4 linked regions of the Oryctolagus cuniculus genome follow. The protein of the gene in region 2 purifies or fractionates together with the protein of the main gene of each other region. This does not show direct contact. Links are inferred from orthologs where the notes say so. Each region holds a gene or a part of one and is shown on either strand. Other genes may lie near its edges.

What was found.
Region 1: the proteins of RSRP1 (region 2) and C1QBP purify together in Homo sapiens (affinity purification with mass spectrometry; 3 studies listed by BioGRID and IntAct, counting the BioPlex papers as one, with this or other methods). This does not show direct contact. The link is inferred for Oryctolagus cuniculus from reciprocal best matches to the Homo sapiens genes RSRP1 and C1QBP.
Region 3: the proteins of RSRP1 (region 2) and PSME3 purify together in Homo sapiens (affinity purification with mass spectrometry; 3 studies listed by BioGRID and IntAct, counting the BioPlex papers as one, with this or other methods). This does not show direct contact. The link is inferred for Oryctolagus cuniculus from reciprocal best matches to the Homo sapiens genes RSRP1 and PSME3.
Region 4: the proteins of RSRP1 (region 2) and CPSF6 purify together in Homo sapiens (affinity purification with mass spectrometry; 3 studies listed by BioGRID and IntAct, with this or other methods). This does not show direct contact. The link is inferred for Oryctolagus cuniculus from reciprocal best matches to the Homo sapiens genes RSRP1 and CPSF6.

Annotation. Positions count from the first base shown.
Region 1 is NC_091448.1:50,895,578-50,900,406, forward strand, and holds the start of C1QBP (complement component 1 Q subcomponent-binding protein, mitochondrial), read left to right. Parts: upstream 1-1,882; 5' UTR 1,883-1,970; coding exon 1,971-2,196; intron 2,197-2,483; coding exon 2,484-2,634; intron 2,635-4,829.
Region 2 is NC_091438.1:146,019,959-146,024,550, reverse strand, and holds the start of RSRP1 (arginine/serine-rich protein 1), read right to left. Parts: upstream 3,020-4,592; 5' UTR 2,853-3,019; intron 2,693-2,852; 5' UTR 2,646-2,692; coding exon 2,186-2,645; intron 543-2,185; coding exon 391-542; intron 1-390.
Region 3 is NC_091448.1:20,081,459-20,086,260, forward strand, and holds the start of PSME3 (proteasome activator complex subunit 3), read right to left. Parts: upstream 3,138-4,802; 5' UTR 3,067-3,137; coding exon 2,992-3,066; intron 2,890-2,991; coding exon 2,857-2,889; intron 2,740-2,856; coding exon 2,677-2,739; intron 2,484-2,676; coding exon 2,379-2,483; intron 1,594-2,378; coding exon 1,545-1,593; intron 752-1,544; coding exon 639-751; intron 408-638; coding exon 339-407; intron 189-338; coding exon 121-188; intron 22-120; coding exon 1-21. UniProt on the Homo sapiens protein: Subunit of the 11S REG-gamma (also called PA28-gamma) proteasome regulator, a doughnut-shaped homoheptamer which associates with the proteasome. 11S REG-gamma activates the trypsin-like catalytic subunit of the proteasome but inhibits the chymotrypsin-like and postglutamyl-preferring (PGPH) subunits.
Region 4 is NC_091442.1:71,570,183-71,574,288, reverse strand, and holds part of CPSF6 (cleavage and polyadenylation specificity factor subunit 6), read right to left. Parts: intron 1,126-4,106; coding exon 980-1,125; intron 103-979; coding exon 1-102. UniProt on the Homo sapiens protein: Component of the cleavage factor Im (CFIm) complex that functions as an activator of the pre-mRNA 3'-end cleavage and polyadenylation processing required for the maturation of pre-mRNA into functional mRNAs.

The sequences.
Region 1 (4,829 bases), on a different chromosome or scaffold from region 2:
CAGTCCCGCCCTGTCAGCATGTGTGCCCGAGCCACCAGCCCTCACTCAACACTCAGGTTTTCAGCCAGGTTTCCGGGGTGTCAGCACATGTGGTTTAGTTGTGGTAACAGTGGTCACATGTAGATGAAATGGGATGTGACTGATCCTATATACCTCACCTCACAGTGTGGCTTTTCCACACGTTGCTGACTTTCTGGAGTTTTCCAGAAAGTTCTTTCTGTTTTGTTTTTAGTGTATTTTTCTCATTCATTTAATAGAAAGCAAGGATGTTTAGCCGAAGCTGACGAAAGAAATATAATGTATTTTAAATAAAACATTGGTCATTCTGTTAAAAAGAAATGGGGGGTGGGGGATAATTTATTAGGCTCCTCAGCAAATCCTCTAGCGAGAGGTATTCTCCAGGTCAGGTAAAACTCACCTTGCGTAATTTATATCCGGCTTAAGCACCCGAGAAGTTTCCAGAGACTCATGTTCTTCTCCGGGGGGCAGAGGATGCAAACAGCTTCTAAGTAGCTTTCATGTTTCAGTACAGAAATATGTTTACCCCTGTAACACTGAGGTAGTTTTTAATATAGTATTTAGTTTTCTATTGGGCTTTTAAGGAAGTTATTTTTTTATCATAGCTGCTCAGGGATGAATCCAGGTTGGAAAGCCCACCCTAGCTCCACGTCACTAACACAGAAATAAGACCTGTCTGTCGAGCTGCAGGGGATGCTACACCTTAAACTTAGCGCTTTCACAGTGACACTGCACCATAGCCCCGAGCTACCCTTTCCCACCTCCTCTGAGCGGCTGTGTGCAAACAGTGTCCTCAAGCAGGCGGCGTGGGGCGTGGCTCAGGCGGCTGTCCTGCTTACATCATCACAGAGGGTGAAACGTGGGGTAGGGCACCTTTCCTTACAAGGGCGAGGACCCCAATCCCTGTCCTTGATAAAAAGCTTTCATGCTGCAAACCTGCTGACTGGGAAGGAGATGCCAGATGAGGACAAGGTTTTGCTCGGGGAGGGAAATTGCACTGTGATACCTAAATCCTCCGTCCACTACGGATGTGGCCATGCATCTCTGACACCAGTGCTTTAGCATAAGAGAAAGCACGGGCCCCGTGGGCGAGAATGTTATGTTGTATTTCATAAGAATATTGTAACCTGCAGAGAAATCCCGAGGGAGGGAAAAAATCAGGTTGGCTCAGGCGTACGTTGTATTTTGAGTCTTAAATAAAGCTATGAAAAGATCAACTCCTGTGTATATATATAATGCTCACATTCGCACCTGACTAGCAAGTGTCCATTGAGAACAAGTCTTGTACATGATGCATGTCCCTTCTTTCTTGTGTGTCCTTGCCCTTATTCACAGAAAGCTGTTTTGAAAATATTAAGTATTAGCCTTACGATTGCCACAAAGCTAGGGAGACATTTTCTTGGTACCTTCCACACCCTGGCGAGTGCAGAACCAGATGTTAGCCATGGCTTCTGGCTCCCGGCAAAATGACTTTGCCTGAGAACTTGGATGCAAGGCCGGAGGGAGCAGGTGAAGCCAGTCACGAGAGGTTAACCATGGGCACCGCGCCTCGCGCCTCTGGGTCTCACCTGGCTGCAGTGAGGGGAGTCAGCCAGGCAAGCGAGCAAAGCCAGGGCTTGATGCACACGAGAGAGCAGAGAAGGCCTGCGAGAGGTGTGCTGCCGTCGAGTGTGGAGGACGTGTGCAAGCCTGGCGCGCTCTGAGAATTAACCACAAAGCTCTGCGCACCAGACCCCAACACACTCCCGGGGCGGTCCAGGAATCCGGATTCGAGGCTGCACCGGCGGTCCCCGGCAGAGGGCGCCATCCGGCCCGCGGTGCCTTCGGTCTTTGGAGCGCCGGCGGCGGGAGACGCTTCCGGGCGAGGGCGGGCTTCCGGCGGCGGGAGGTCACTTGGGCGCTTTGGCCCGGGTCGTCCGTCGCCGCCGCACGTGTCTGACGCCGTCCGCGCGATGCTACCGCTGCTTCGCTGCGTGCCCCGCGCCCTGGGCCCCGCCGTCGCCGGCCTCCGCGCCGCGGCCCCGGCCCCGCCGCTCCGGCCGCTGCTGCTGCCCGCGCCCCGGCCTTGCGCCCGGCCGTTCGGGCTGCTCAGCGTGCGCGCGGGCTCGGTGCGGCGGCCCGGCCTCCTGCGGGCTCGCGAGCCCTGCTCCTGCGGCTGCGGCGCGCTGCACACGGAGGGTGAGGGGCTCGCGCGTGGCGTGGGGGACCTGATTCCCGACGGCGACTGACAGCACCGCTCCCCGGCTCCCCCGGCCCCGGGTGCGGTTTGGGGGGTGGGGTGCTGCGGCGCTCGTGACGGAATTGGCTTCTCCGGGCGAGCGGATGCAGCTGCCCGCTTCCAGGCCGGATAGCGTTGGGGAGGCGAGGCGGATGCCGGGCAGAGGGCGGCGGTCCCCGGGTCCCCGGGTCCCCGGGTCCCTGTCGGGTGCTTGGCGCTCCTTGACGTCTCCGCGATTCCTCCCCAGGAGATAAAGCCTTTGTGGATTTCCTTACCGACGAGATTAAGGAGGAGAAGAAAATCCAGAAGCATAAAGCCCTTCCCAAGATGTCTGGAGGCTGGGAGCTGGAGGTGAACGGCACAGAGGCTAAACTCGTGCGCAAAGTGGCCGGGGAGAAGTAAGTGCACGGCGCGCCCCGGGGTGCGCGGCGTGGGGCGGCCTCTGGCTCGGGACCCTAAGCTCGCTGGAGCCACATGTCAGCCACCCCGTGTGACTTCACAGCGGGACCCTTCCGCAGCCGCCCTGTCCCTTCTTCCCCCTCCGGCCCCTTGAAACCGCCAAGCTGCCTTCTCTGGATTTGCCTGTGTGGGACATTTTGTGTGAGTGGGAGTCATGCAATATGTGGCCATTTGTGTCTACCTCCCCCCCCCCCCCCAAGATTGATTTATTGGCTTGAAAGGTAGAGTTAGAGACGTCTTCCATCCACCCCAACAGCCAGAGCTGGGCCAAGCTGGAGCCAGGAGCCAGGCAGCAGGCACTTTTTCCATGTCCTCCCACGTGGGTGCAAGGGTCCAACACTTGGGCCAGCTTTTTTTTTTTTTTTTTTTAAGATTAATTTATTTGAGAGGCAGAGAGTAAGAGAATTACAGAGAGAAGGTTACAGAGAGGCGTCTGAGCAGGGAGCTGGATCCAAAGCAGAGCAGCCTATGGGTGCCAGCGTTGTAGGCAGCAGCTTAGCCAGCTGTGCCACAACACTGTCACCCCCGCACCCCCGTTGTTTTTGAGGTTCATTCATACTAGTAATAGCATGTACCAATAGTTAGCTTTTTTAATGACAACATAATATTTCATTATGTGGATATGCTAGATTTTATTTATGTAAGGAAATGGGAGACAGACCAGAGGAGACAAGATACGAAGTCAACGGCCAAAATCAATTAAGAAGAAAAATGGGAGCCAGCGCTGTGGCATAGCACGCTAAGCTGCCACCTGCGGTGCCTGCATCCCATATGGGTGCCGGTTCAAGTCTTGGCTGCTCCACTTCTGACCCAGCGCCCTGTTTCTGCTCCTGGGAAAGCAGCGGAAAATGGCTCAAGTGCTTGGGTCCCTGCACCCACATGGGAGGCCTGGAAGAAGTTCCTGGTTTCCATCTGGCCATTGTAGCCATTTGGGGAGTGAACCAGCAGATGGAAGATCTCTTTCTAACTCTGTCTTTCAAATACAATAAATAAATCATAAAGGAAAAAAAAAAAGACAAGTGAATTTGCAAAGATGGCCAACCACTGGCATGCGCACAGACAGAACACGTGGCCGAGAGAGCAGGAATTTATTTACGGGCTGGATTTAAATAGCATAGGCCTGATAAGGGCCATGAGGTGCAGTGGAGCTGAGCTAGCTTTTCTATGGAATGCAGAATGCAGAGGGTAGGGTGGGCAACAGTACAGGGCGTAGGACTGAGCTGGTCTCTTGAAGGAAGGTAAAGGGTCCCTCAGGCAAAGAGCCACAATGCCTGAGGCTCATGTCCTTGTTCTGTCAGTTATCCATTCATTTGTTGGCAGGCATTTGACAGGGTTCTATTTACTTTGTGATTCTGGTTTTTTATTTATTTATTTTTTTAATTTTATTTATCTGACAGATAGTTATAGACAGAGACAGAGAGAAAGGTTTTCCTTCCGTTGGTTCACCCCCCAAATGGCTGCTACGGCCGGCGCTGCGCCAGTCCGAAGGCAGGAGCCAGGTGCTTCTCCTGGTCTCCCATGGGGTGCAGGGCCCAAGCACTTGGGCCATCCTTCACTGCCTTCCCGGGCCACAGCAGAGAGCTGGCCTGGAAGAAGGGCAACTGGGACAGAATCTGGCGCCCCGACCGGGACTAGAACCCGGTGTGCCAGGCGCCGCAATGCAGAGGATTAGCCTATTGAGCCACAGCGCCGGCCTTTACTGTCGTTTTGAAAGACAGATAGCTCCCATGTGCTACTTCACTCCCTAAATATTGAAATGTCCAGGTATAGGCTACGCTGGAGCTGGGAGCTGAATCCAGGTTACCAGGTTATTGCCTTAAAGGTGGGCTTTAGATATTCTGGGTGCAGTTCCCCTTATCAGACACAGGGTGTGCAAGTGTTTTCTCCCATCCTTGGGTGTTTTTTTCCTTTCCCTATGTTATTGGTATTGACATACACTTTTTTTAGTTATTGTTTGACTACACCAAGTGAACTATTTTTTTAAAGATTTATTTATTTATTTGAAAGAGTTACGCAGTCACTCCCCAGTTGGCCACAACGACCAGAGCTGTGCCAATCCAAAACCAGGAGTCAGGAGCTTCTGCGTCTCCCACATGGGTGCAGGGGCCCAAGGACTTAAGCCATCTTCTATTGC
Region 2 (4,592 bases):
AGACAGAAATAAAGCAGGTAAACTATACTGTATGCTGAATATAGATGTGCAGGAAAACAACGCTGCAAATGAAAGCTACAGACAAACACCCTGAAGGCTAGAGTTAAGACCGGAATTGTAAAAAACTTAATAAAAATCACCAATGTCCCAGCTACCATATATTGATGTTGTCGTGAAATGACTAACACCATGTCTACTGAAGGTAAAGCTCATTAACTTCCCATTCTCACAGGTGCGATCCTGTCTAGAAGGTCACGACTGCTAATTTTAGGGAATTATGTATGGGTAGACATCCCAAGAGAGACAGTCTAAGGTAAATCAAAACGGCTAATGAAACCCCTCTGGCAGCAGCTTTCTCAAGAGTCTGTTCGTGTAAACGAGAGTGCTTACCTCAGCCTTCGCGCCATCATCTGACACGGCCGCCCCACGGCTTGTTTCTCTGGCTACTAAAACCGCTCTGAGACTAGCCGGCAGCTCAAAGTTGGTCGTTCCTAAAGCTTTCGCTGCATTGGCTTTTGCTATTTCTAACAGCTCCATTCGATCTATTAAACAAACAAAAAGACACATTCATTATTATTAATCCTGTAGTTTTTCCCAAAAATGTGCTTGTTTTACTTAAAACAGCTATATCCAGATGTGTAAAAGCCGTGTTTATTTGCCACAGGCACAGTGAAACCCTAGTTTCAGTTCTTCTGACAACCACCTTGTTATTTTCTCTTCAAATAGTTATTTCTGAACCTAGGAGTTTTTAACAGACCTTTGATATCAACTTCTTGATCAATACTACTACTACTAAAGCCCACATTCACACTTCCGTAAGTTTGTTACCTAATTTTTTCCTATTCCACAATCCCACCTACCACATCAGAAGTCATGTTACAAAATACTAGACAATTCAACTTTGTTTACTACTGACACTTTAAAAAATGTGTTTTGGTATTACTCCAATTCAATAAATATTTAAGGGGCAGGTATCTGGGAACCAGTTTTAAAAAAATCCTTGGTACTTTCCTCCCCAATTCAACAGTTCATTTAAGGGATAGATATTTGGGGAGCAGCTAAAAAATGTTCTTTAAAGATCATTTATTTGAAAGGCACAGTTAGAGAGAGGAAGAGGGGGAGGGAGGTAGGGAGAGGTCGTCCATCTACTGGTTCACTCCCCAGATGTCTGCAACAGCCAGAGCTGAGCTGATCATAGCCGGGAGCTTCTTCCTGGTCTCCAATGCGGGTCCAAGGGCCAAAGGACTTGAGCCATCCTCTACCGCTTTCCCAGACCAAAGCAGAGAGCTGGGTTGGAGGCAGCACAGCCAAAACTCAAACCAGCGCCCATATGGGATGCCGGTACAACAAGCAGCAGCTTTACACACTATGCCACAGCAGCTAAAATTTTAAGCAGTTGGGACACCCCCATCACATGTCAGAGCACCCAAGTTCAAGTTCTTCCAGCTCCCTGCTGAGGAGGAAGCAGGAGGGGTCCCTGACACCCATGGAGGAGACTGGGTTCTGGGCTCCAGTCTGTGGCCCCGCCCCACCCTGGCTGTTGTAAGCATCTGGGCAGTGAGGCAGCAGATGGAAAAGTTGTCTGCCTGCAAAAATAAGAAAATTTCTGGTAGTTACTTTAGTAGCAACTTAGAATAGGTAAGCACATCATTCCCATTTAAAAGACTATGCCTGGGCCGGCGCTGTGGTGCAGCGGGACAACGCCCTGGCCTGCAGTGCTGGAATCCCATGTGGGCACTGGTTCGAGTCCCGGCTGCTCCACTTCCGACCCAGCTCTCTGCTATGGCCTGGGAAAGCAGAAGAAGATGGCCCAAGTCCTTGGGCCCCTGCACCTGCGTGGCAGACCAGAAGAAGCTCCTGGTTTGGATCGGTGCAGCTCCAGCCATTGTGGTAACTGGGGAGTGAATCATCGGATGAAGACCTCTCTCTGCCTCTCCTCTCTCTGTGTAACTCTTTCAAATAATAAAAACTTTCTTCTTTTTTAAAGAAAAAGACCAGGACGAGAGCAAACAGCCTGGAGAAAGCGTCTCCTCCACCCGAAGCATCAACCCCCACCGCATCCAAGGGCACCGCTCTCAGCCGCACTCCAGCCCGCGTGCTCCCTCCCCACCAGCACCCAGGCTTCCCCGCAGCACCGCGAGCGGCGGAGACCCCCAGACCCCGTCCCTCCCGGACCGACACCCACCTTTCTCGCTCAGCCGGAAGGGGGTCCTGCTGCGGGACCTCGTGCGGGACCGGGCCCGGCGCCGGCCGCGCTGCTCCGGGTACACCGTGCGCCCGAAGCCGTAGTGGCGGCGCCCGCGCGGCGACCTCCGGGAGCGCGAGCGGCTGCGGGAGCGGCCCCGCCGCGGAGACCCGGGGCGCCTGCGGGGCGATGCCCGGCGCCTGTCCCCGCGCCGGCGGCTGCGCGACCACGAGCGGCTGCGCGAGTAGGAGCGCGAGTAGCGCCGGTACTTCCGCTGGTGGCGCCTCCGGGAGCGGGACCGGGAGCGGGAGCGGCTCCGGCCCGGCGACGACGACCGGCTCGAGCGGCGGGAGGCCGGGCGAGAGCTGCCGGAGGACGAGCGGCTGGAGCGGCCCGAGCTGGCCGGCGAGCCCTTGTCCTGCGGCGAGCCGGGCCACAGCGCGCTCACGTAGCCGGACATCTCGCCCCCGCGGTCTGAAGAGCAGAGTCCTTCCCGGAAACTCAAGCCTGGCGGGGAACGAGAAACAGGAAAACAACTCAGCGCCCGGAAGTGGGGGCGGGGCCGGGCGCCCGCCCCGGAAGCAGCCGAGCCCCGAGGCCTCGCTAGGCCCCACGGCGCTACCGCGAAACGCCGCCCCCCCACCCGACGGAACTGCGGGAAACTTACGGCCGGCGGTCGCCGCCTCCCTCAGGGCCGGAAGAAAGGCTAAGGCCAGCCTTTCTTTCGAAGGTCGGGACGAAGCTGCGCTTTTAGCGCCTACTCCCAAAAACGCGGCAAACTACCACAGCGAAGTCCTGACGCCAACTGAGCCGGACGTCCCCCAGGCGCGACTAAAGTACCAGAAACCCGAGGCCGCGCATGCGCACAGACGTTAGCGCGGTGGGCGTGGCTCGCCTCTAACCCAACCGCCGCCTTCCCCTCCCTTTTTCCCGCCCACCGCCTCGCCTCCGAGATACGCATGCGTCAGCGCGTCCCGGGCACCGCGCCAGTATTTCAGGGTGTTGCGGAGGAATGTTCCTGGGTTGTTCTGATTTGAGGCCATTGTGGGCTCCATCAGGCTCGATCTAGACTTGGGGGCGCCGTGTGGCGCGGCGTGACGCCCAGGGCAGATGCGGGCCCGAGTGCCTGGCGGGGGATGGCACGAGGGGAGACCCTGCCGCCGGCTGCCGATGGCGGCACCCTCCGGGCGGCTGTAGGCCTGGGCTGTGCCCTGGACGCTCTCCTGGCCCCCGGCCCCCGGCCCCCGGGGCTGCAGGAGGCGGCGGCCGCGGCTAGACCCCGCGACATCACAGGGTTCATGCAAGTGCAGTGTTGTCTCTGAAAGTTTCACGTGTTAGCTGGTAGAGGTAACTCAGAGACAAAATGCAGGGACCCCATAATTGGCCTTTAAGGGGTTAGGTTGATGTGGGGGATTAAATAATGGCGATTTGCTTGTTTTCAGGATTATACAAATAGGGTACATTCCAGGTGTTACCGGTGAATGGCAGCGTTCTTCTCGCAAGAAAGAATTCAGGCCTGAGGCAGAGTAGTGGGAGGTAAAATAGCAAGGTTTATTAGGGAAGTGACATCCGTGAGAACGGATGGGCACCTCTCCAGACAATCAGAGAGAGTGCCCAGTCGCTCGGACTGGGGAAGAGCGAGGTTGCATGGTTGAGTGGAGAGAGTACAGGCGGGCGGCTCAGCAGAGGGCAGAGGGCTGAGCGCGCAGTTGAGGCCGGGGGATTTTAAGGCCATGGGTCTTGCTTCCCCACCTCTGCTCCTCTTGGAACAAAGGACTTTTTGGATATAAATAGAAAAACTCTAATCTGAGTTTTCCCCCTGAAGTTATCAGACAGGGGGAAGCCTGCCTGGGGTCGCCCGCCTGAGAGGAGCCTTAGAGGAAGGATGGTTATGGGGTAGAAGGGGCTGGGCTGCACCTGGAAGATTGTCAGGCAGAAGGGTCGGGGACCCCCACCAGGCAGGTTGTTGGGTAGAAGGAGCAGGGCAGGATGCAGGTACTGGGCTGCCCCTGGAAGGTTATCGGGATGACTTTGAGATGCATATGCTGGACCCAAATGTCTCCTTAGGCCTTTGTCACACACACACATAAGCTCATATCTGACTTCTGCCTAACACAGGCATTGTAATGAAACTTGAAAAATGTGAATCAACTGCTGGCTGAACTCGCTTCTGTGAGGAGAGCAAGTGTGTTTTTTTTTTTTTTTTTAAAAAAAAGATTGATTGATTGATTTGAAAGGGTTACAGAGAGAGAGAGAAAGTCTTCTCTCCACTGGTTCACTCCCCAGTTGGCTGCAAAGGCTGGAGCTGCGCTGATCAAAGCCAGAGCCAGGAGCTTCTTCCAGGTCTCCCATGCAGGTGCAGGGGCCCAAGGACTGGGGCCATCTTCCACTGCTTTCCCAGGCCATA
Region 3 (4,802 bases), on a different chromosome or scaffold from region 2:
TTGGCTCTTGTAATATAATATCTGAAAGGAGAGAGAATAGGAGGAAGCTGCAGGAGGCCCCAGAGGGTGCCTGGCAGCTCACCAGCCCCTAATTCCTGGGCCACGCCCAGGCAGGCCTACCTAGAAATCTGGTCCAGATAAGATGCAGCTTCACTCTCAACGGTTCTTAGTTCTGCAACTGTCTCCTCCTGAAAAACAAAAACCCCAAAACCTGGTAAATCAAAAGCCACTTCCACACCACCCCGAGCCGCCCCAAAGAGAAGGGAAAAGCAGAAAAAGCGGGAGGGACGAGCGTATCACCCAACCTTTCTCCTCAGTTTGGAAGGCAGGCACGCTACCTGAATGGACACTCCAAAGTTGTTCCCATCTTCTATCCGGGGAATCAGGAGCTGTACCCACATTTTCACCTGGAGGGTGAGAGCCCAAAACACATATATGAAGATGCTGGGCTTTTCTGCTGAAGCCACGAAGTACCCAGCTGGTACTGCTGTGGCCAGATGCTAGGAATCCACGAGTTAAGACAGCTACTGTGCCAGCAGCCCACCCCAGCGCCACGCCCCCAGCCCCTCACCCACCAGTCTCATGGTGTCAGTGGGGCTACCCGCAGTGAGCCCACGGGTCACTAGCCCCTGCCTCACCGTGTTACATTTCTCGATCAGCAGCCGGATCTCAGGTTTCACTTTCTCAATAATGTCGACCAGCTGCTGGTTGCTTTTTAGCATCCCATTGGGCATCACAAACACCTTGGTTCCTGGCAGGGATGGGAAGGTCGAATGATTAGGCAGGAGGGAGGCCGGGGCATCTTCCACTCTCCTTCCCAGGCCAGTGAGGGCTCTGACCGCTGCCCTTCATCTGTCACAGTCCTACCACGGCACCACTGACAGAATCAGAGATGCACAGCTCAGTAGATAAGCATCCAAAGTATGCCCGAAGTCTAAGAACAAGAACGTTAAAATGGGGCCAGCACTGTGGCACAGCAGGTTAAGCCAACAGCAGCATCCCATATGGGCACTGGTTTCAGTCCTCGCTGCTCCACTTCCAACCCAGCTCCCTGCTAAAAAAGCAACAGAAGATGACCCAAGTGCTTGGGCCCCTGCCCCACGTAAAAGACCTGGAAGAAGCTCCTGGCTTCGGCCTAGCCAAGCCCCAGCCATTGTGTCTGTTCCAGAGGACAGATCTCTAATTCTGCCTTTCAAATAAACAAAGTAAATCTTTAAAGATAAATAAAATAAATCTTTAAAAATAAATAAACACCTTAAAGACGGAACACATCAACAACTACTGCTGAGAAGGAAATAAGTAACATGGCACTGGGGCTTCTCTGACCCGCGCGAGCTGTGTGGGCTGCTGCTCCAACCACTCCCCCTCAGCGGCCCACACGAGGTCAATGCTAAATGACGCCCCTGTCCGGGGGACTTGGGAACACTGGCTCTGGGAAAGCAGGTCTTGCTTCTGGGCTGAGGGAACGCCAGATCCATCCTACTTCCCAGGGCAAGCGGTCAGGCGGTCAGGGGGAGGTCAGGGGGCACCGGGGTGGCTCTTACCTTGGAAGGCCTCGTCACACTCATCCAATCTTCGCTTCTTGTAAGTGGGCTAAGGACACAAAGAGGCAGGAATCAGCCTGCCGTACACACCCACAAGACACCCTTCAAGCAAGTCAACTGTTCCTTGACCCTGTAGGTTGTCCTGTTCTTTTCTGCATAATTTCCCAAGTACATATAAAGCCTGAAGAAATGTTCTTGCCACCAAGCAACAACCTTGCAAGAAACACAACACTTTAAGCAACTGGGGGAAAGGGAGGACACTATAAAGAGCAGGAAAAAGGAACCAATCGAGGCACGGTGAGGATAATTAAGGGGATATGTACAAACTTGCTGGTTCCATGAGGGAACACCATATTCAGTTAACAAGAATTCAGCAATCGCTGGGCACTGGGAACAAAGCTAGGTGCCGAGGACACGAGGACAATGAAGACAGTTCCCGCCTGCAGACGTGCAAGTTCTACCGAGGAGACGCTGACAAAGAACAAAGCGTCATCGGTGTGCTAAGAGGACGCAGATGGTGACTGCACGGAAAAGGCAGGGTCTGCGACTCCACGGCAAGCGCCTCAGCCACGAGACTCAAGGCCGTGAAGCGGAGGCAAGAGGAGCCTGTTCAGCCTGGGAAGCGACGGGGGCCTGTGGCCAGGTTAGTGCACTGAGACTCCCTGGGGCGCATTCACCTCGTTTTAGACATGCACATCAGGGTCTGAAAGTATCCTGGAGCCATCATGCCAGACCCCAATGCCACCATCCCCCGACGTATGTTCCAGCTCCCCAGGAACTAGAAAACAGAGAACCTATTGCTTCAGAACACAAAGATAAACACGGGCCACTTACACCATCCAGTCCATCGTGGCTATTGGTGAGCAGAATGGGGTCAGGGACCGGGAGATTCATGTCCGAGTGGATCTGAGTTAGGTCATGGATGTTTAGGATTGGTTCCTGAAAGAGACAGGCCCACCCTCAAAACATTGGTCTTTTCAAGCTGAACAAAGAACCATTTCACTGGAAGGGCAAGCCGTGAGAGTGCTTTACAGCACAAAACAAAACAGAGTCAGCACACAACTGGTTCCATCTGACAGAAAGGGCAGGCCTGAAGACGCTGGGGAACTGAAGTAAGCAAAGTGTCTCTCACCTTCAAAAAACTATCAAGTTCTAACAACTTCTTTGGGAAAAAATTTGCCACCAAGTCTTCTGCCTAGATAAGGGAAAATACAACTGAATTAATGACAGAGGGAAGGGCTCCCTCTGCAATCACCTCCTCTTGGGGAAACTCCCAACTCCTAATCAATACGCATTTCTCCATTTCACTCACCTCACTTGTGATCCGCTCCCTGAAAGAATCAACCTAAAAAGAACAAAGACAGCAATTCAGGAAGAGCAATTCAGTACCTGGCAACAGAGGTAAGGACAGGATGGGGAATCCCAAACCCAGCTCTCTGCCCCTCACCTGGCGATTGTAATGAGAAGCTGAGAGGCCCCCAGACTGCAAATACTTTATTTTTTTGAGGATCCATTTCTCCATCTCAGGAGAGGAAAGCGGGGCTCGGAGACAGCACCCGCCTGTCTCCTCTCCCCTCCCTCCCTGCGTCTGAAGCTGTCTGAATTTGACAAAGACAGGGAGATGCGGGGATGTGAGATCACAAACGTGCCTAGCCCACCTCACACCTGGCCTATGACAGGAAGCGGGCCAGCCGCCAAGGGCAGGGGCAGCGCCCCCGGGGCGGGGGCGTCGCTGGGCTGGGGGACTCCCAGCTGTCACCGGCCGAAAGCAATGACTCCAACACGTGCCTGCAGAGGTCTCCCCGGGTTCTCCATCACCAGACGCGGGGACGGAAGGCCTCTCTGTAATACCCTTCCCCCTAAGGCCGTCTCCGGGCGTGGGGGGCTGGGCTGAGCCGGGCGGAAGCTCCGAGCCGGTGTCCCCAGGGAGACAAAGACACCACGGGGAGTAGGGAGGCGGTCAGACGGCTGGGGGACAGAAGCGAGGGGTGAGAAGGCCCGGACCGGTGCCGCTACCTTGAGCTTCACTTCCTGATCCACCTTCAGCAACGAGGCCATGGCCGGGCCGGGCCGTGTCCGCTCCGCTGGAGACCGGAGGCGCTGTGGGCTCCGGGGAGGGGCCAGGGGGACCTGAGGAATTCCGGCTGCCCTCGGGACCCGGCCGCCGTCTCTAGCTCACTCACTGCTCGCTCGCTCCCTCCTTCCGTGCGGTCCGTCCGCCTGCCCGCCTGCTGCCTGCTGCCTGCTCGCACTCTCCCTCGCCCTCCCGGCTTTCGCCGCTCACGCCGGAAGTTACGTCACAGCCAATCGCCGGGGCTCCCGCGAGGATGCGCGCGTACTCTGCGCAGGCGCGCTGTCTGTCGGGCTGGGGGCTCTGCGACTGGGACTGGTCGCGGCCGGCTGCTAAGCTGGCTGAGAGTGAAGCAAAAGGGAAGGTGGTAGGAGTTGGTTTTTTGAGAACTGAGCTTTCAAGAGACTCGGGGACTGTTTGGCTTTCTGTTGGCCCCGATTCGCCTTCCCCGAAGGGATTCTCAGGTCGCAGCTGCCCGCCAGACGACTCCGTCGCGCCCCAGTGACGTCGGCCGGAGGAAGCGGGTGGCCCGGGTGCCGAGTTCGGGATTTTAGTCTGTGATTCCCGCTACCTTTTCCCGTTGGCCGCAGCTCAAGTGCTGTGGCTAGAGACAAACACCTTTCATTGTACCATACGCTTCCAGACCTCAGAGGTCAACTACGTAATGGGCACACTGATGGCTGGATTAGTGCAGGGCGTGTCCCAGGTCCGCGGGGGCCCCCGCAAGCCGGCTCTCCTGACTGCTAGGGCGGTGCCTTATCCGTTTTCCTAACGGAGGCCTAAGGCGCACTCTTCACCCATTCGTTTGCATGTATGTTTTTTTGAAAAACAAGGCCTATTTATTTGAAAGGCAGAGTTGCGGGGGGGGGGGGTGTCTTCCAACCACTGGTTCAGTCCCCAGATGGCCGCAAAGGCTGAAGCCGGCAGCCAGGAGCTTCTTCTGGATCTCCCACGTGGGTGCAGGAGCCCAAGCATTTAAGCCATCTTCTGGTGCTTTCCCAGGCGCATTAGCAGGGAGCTGGATTGGAAGCGCAGCAGCTGGGACCTAACCGCAGCCCATGTGGGCTAAGCCACAACGTGGGTCCCCTAGTGTATCTCTTAACATTGGTTATTTCATTCAGTAAAGTGGGCCAGGGCACTGCGCTAGGCTATGAAACAGCACTCACTGTCCCAGAGCCTAGAAATAT
Region 4 (4,106 bases), on a different chromosome or scaffold from region 2:
GAAAACGGCCCCGTCCTCTACCACCTTGTGGAAATGCTGCACGTGAACTGCCTCCTGGAGGACCAGCTTTACCTTCCCCAGACATTTGTCCTGATTGTGTAGCTGCAAATATCCAAATACTCATAAATAGCACTTATTAGAACAGCTTTTTGAAATGTAACCACTGCTACTAGAAACAATTCTACCTCAAAGTCCATTTACGCTATATATTAACTTTCAGATGCCTTGGGCCTGTGCAAGCTACATAAAAAGTATTGGTTAGGAAAACAATCACATCTATTTAAGTCTCAAAATACCAGTTTAAATATATTTCCAATGATTAAATGAATCACTTTCAAAATACCAGTACTCTGCAGCAGCCAAGACTGAAATTCTTCAACAGAAATCTTAATTTCAGTAGCAAAGAGATCATTTAAAATTTGTAACATATTCTTCAGTTATGTCTTAAGTGCTAAAACACTAAAAGAAAAACAACCACTTGAATCTCTGTGAATTGCAGGGTCATCCATCTTATTGCTTTCAATGATAATATTTGGTGTGTGCAATGCAAGTCTTCTCTACACTCACTTTACCAAGTGGTGAAAGGTCTTGGTGCCAAGCAGAAAATCAACAAATATTTTCTGGTTATCAGTGGTCTCCCACACCATAACACACATCCATATAGCTTTCTTCCAATCTAAGAATTAGAATCTAGATCTTTTCTCTGAGATGAGAATGACAGGACAAGAATGGCAGCACTATTGAACATGAACACTGTTGCATAGTAGCAGGTCTGTGACATCAGGAAGAAAATGGAACGGAGCTGGTTCTCTGTACATGGGCCCACAATCATAATCAGTGGTTAAATTAAAACAGGACCTTTTCTGGGGTGATTCCCCAATGAACTATTACAATGATTTCCCTAATAACATCTAATACATGCTACTAACTGGTTAAAATGAACATATTTGAATAAAAGCCTCTGGGGGGAATTGCTTACTTTTCCTGGACTGCATTTCAAATTGACTCAGGAACTGTTTATTGCATGGAGTTACAACAGGATTCTGACCATGAAGTTCTCTTTTAGGCAACAAATCCATTAACTTTTTTGAAGATGCTTCAGATCCAACACCAACGAGGGCAAACCTAAAAGATGTTTAAAGGGGTGAGGGCAGAAAGTGAGGAGGGATTAATATTACAGCTATCTTTAAAAAGGATTTATTTGAAAAGTAGAGCAACAGATAAGGAGGAAAGGCATATAGAGAGAGACAGAGCTTTCATCTGCTGGTTTACTCCCCAAATGATCCCTAAAGCAAGGCTGGGCCAGGCTGAAGTTGGGAACCACGAACCCCATCCTGGTCTTGTACATGTGCTGTGGGGGCCCAAGTACTTGGGCCATCTTCCACTGCCTTTCCAGACACACTGGCAAGAAGCTGGATTGGAAGCAGAGTAGCTGGGACTCAAACTGACACTCATAACAGATGCAGCTGTCACTAGCAGTGGCTTAACCTGTTGAGCCACAACATCAGCCCAATATTACACATTACATTTATTGAAAAGGAAATGGTCTGAATTTACTTTTACCTAATTTAAAAAAAAAACTGAAAAAATTTTTTAATATTTATTAGAAATGCAGAGTTACAGATAAAGAGAGTTATGGAGGGAGTGTGAGAGAGGGAGGGGGAAGAGGGGAGATGGAGACAGAGACAGAGAGAGAGACAGACAGAGAGGAGAGAAATAGTTTCCATCCACTGTTTCACTCCCCTAAATGATTGCAATGGCTAGAGCTGGGCCGGACTCAAGCCAAGAGCCTAGAATTCCATCCAGCACTCCCACATGGGTGGCAGGGGCCCAGGTACTCAGGCCATCTTCTGCTGTTTTCCCAGGTGCATTAGCATGGGGCTGGGTGGGAATCAGAGCAGCTGGGACTCAAACTGGTGCTTATTACAAATGCCTGCATCTGAAGTGGATGCTTAACCCACTGTACCACAATACCAGCTCCTGAAAATATTTCTTAAAGCTATAAAATTCACTTCATTTTCTATAAAATATTTTCATAAATTATTATAAAAGTCAGTCAGAATGTCTAATTTGGGACAAGTGTTTAGCCTAGTGGTCAAGATGCCCACATTCCTTATCAGAGTACTTGGGTTTGAGACCCATCTCTAGTTCCTGACTCCAGCTTCCTGCTCATGTACACAGATCCTGGAAGGCAGTGATGATGACCTAAGTGACCTAAGTCACCATGCAAATGGGAGACCTGAATTCAGTTTCCAGTCTCAGCCCCAGAAGAGGGCCACTGTGCATTTGTGGAATGAACAAATGGATGGGAGCTCCCCCAGTCTTTCTCTCGGGATTTGCCTGTTCCATACACTGCACGTGAACAGAATTACACACTACGTGGTCCTTTATGACCAGTTTCTTTCACTTAGCATGTATTCACGTACTATCCATGTTGTTACCACTGCATTTCTTCTTCTGACAGAGTAAAATTTCATTGCAGAGCTACAAGATTAAAAAACCCATCCATCAATTCATGGGCATCTGGAGTGTTTCCACTTTTTTGCCACAATGGAAAGATGCTATAGTTCATCATACAATCCAGTAATTCTATTCCCAGGTATATACTCAACAGAATAAAAATACATGGTCAAAGTTGGAACACAAATATTCACAGTGGCATTTTACTTAATCACCAAAAGTCAAACGGCCCAAATGTCCATAAACAAGCAGAGTTGTTTTTGTTTTTTTTTTAAACTGCTCCATCTGCCTAGGCTCACCTCCAAGCTCCTAATCCTGATTCCAGTTTTCTGCTAATGCAGACCTTGAGGGGCAGTGGTGATGGCTCAAGTAGTTGTGTTCCTGCCACCTGTTGTGTTCCAGGAAACCTGGAATAAGCTTCTGGCTCCAAGCCTCAGTCCCCAGGCTGCTGCAGGCATCTGGGGGAGTAAACTAGCAGAAAGAAGCTTGCTCTCTCTCTCTCTCTCTGCCTCTCAAATAGATAAAGTGCTATATCCACAATAATGGAAAAGTACTCATCCATAGAAAGAAATGCTGACATATGCTGCAACACGGATAAACCTTGAAAACATACTAAGTAAAAGCAGCCAGACACACAGGATAACATATTATGACTGCATTTGGGTGTGGAATTTCTAAGACGAGATGATCTGCAATTAGGGGCAATGGTGGTTAGCTTTATAAATATATTTTAGAAATCACTGAATGGTACACTTTAAAAGAGTGAAATTTTAGTATATGAAAACTGTATCTCGGAGATACATGCATTTAAAAAAACTGAAAGATTATCAATTTGTACAATTACCAGATAGCATAGATTAATGGGGGGTAATTTTTTTCTCCCTAATGTAGCCCTTTAACTAGATCCTTTATTCTACTCAACAGATTTTGCTACATGATCTAGAGTTTTCTTGAGTCATAACACTTAAGAAACTACTTAATTTATTGAATAATTATTCAGTACCACTTCCTACATGCCAAGTACCATCCTAGGCTGCGGACATAACAGTGCACAAAACAGTATCTCCGCCCCTGTGAAGCTTACAATCTGCTGGGAAAAGATAAGCCCAGAAGTGAAATACATATAAACAAAAACTAAAAGCAAATAGAAGAAGGTACTGTTCTGCACAGAGAAAGTCTTAAAGAGACTAATGTGGCTGAAAAAGGAGTGATAAGGAATAAGGTTAGAGAGGGGCAGAAAAACACAGATCATACATCATCTTGGCGATGACATGGTAATGACTGGGAAAGGAAGTCATTCAAAGATTCTGAGCAAGACAAGTACCGAGGTCACTTTTTTTTAAACTTTTATTTTAAAGGATTTTATTTGAGAGACAATTACAGAGAGAGAGAGAGGGAGAGACAGAGAGACAAGTCTTCCATCCGCTGGTTCACTCCCCAAACGACCGCAATGGCCGGAGCTGTGCTGATCCGAAGCCAGGAGCCAGGAGCTTCTTCCAAGTCTCCCACGTGGGTGCAAGGGCCCAAGCACTTGTGCCATCTTCTACTGCTTTCCCAGGCCATAGCAGAGAGCTGGATCAGAAGAGGAGTGGCCGGAACTACAACCAGCACCCATATCGGATCCCAGCACCACAGGTGAAATGTTT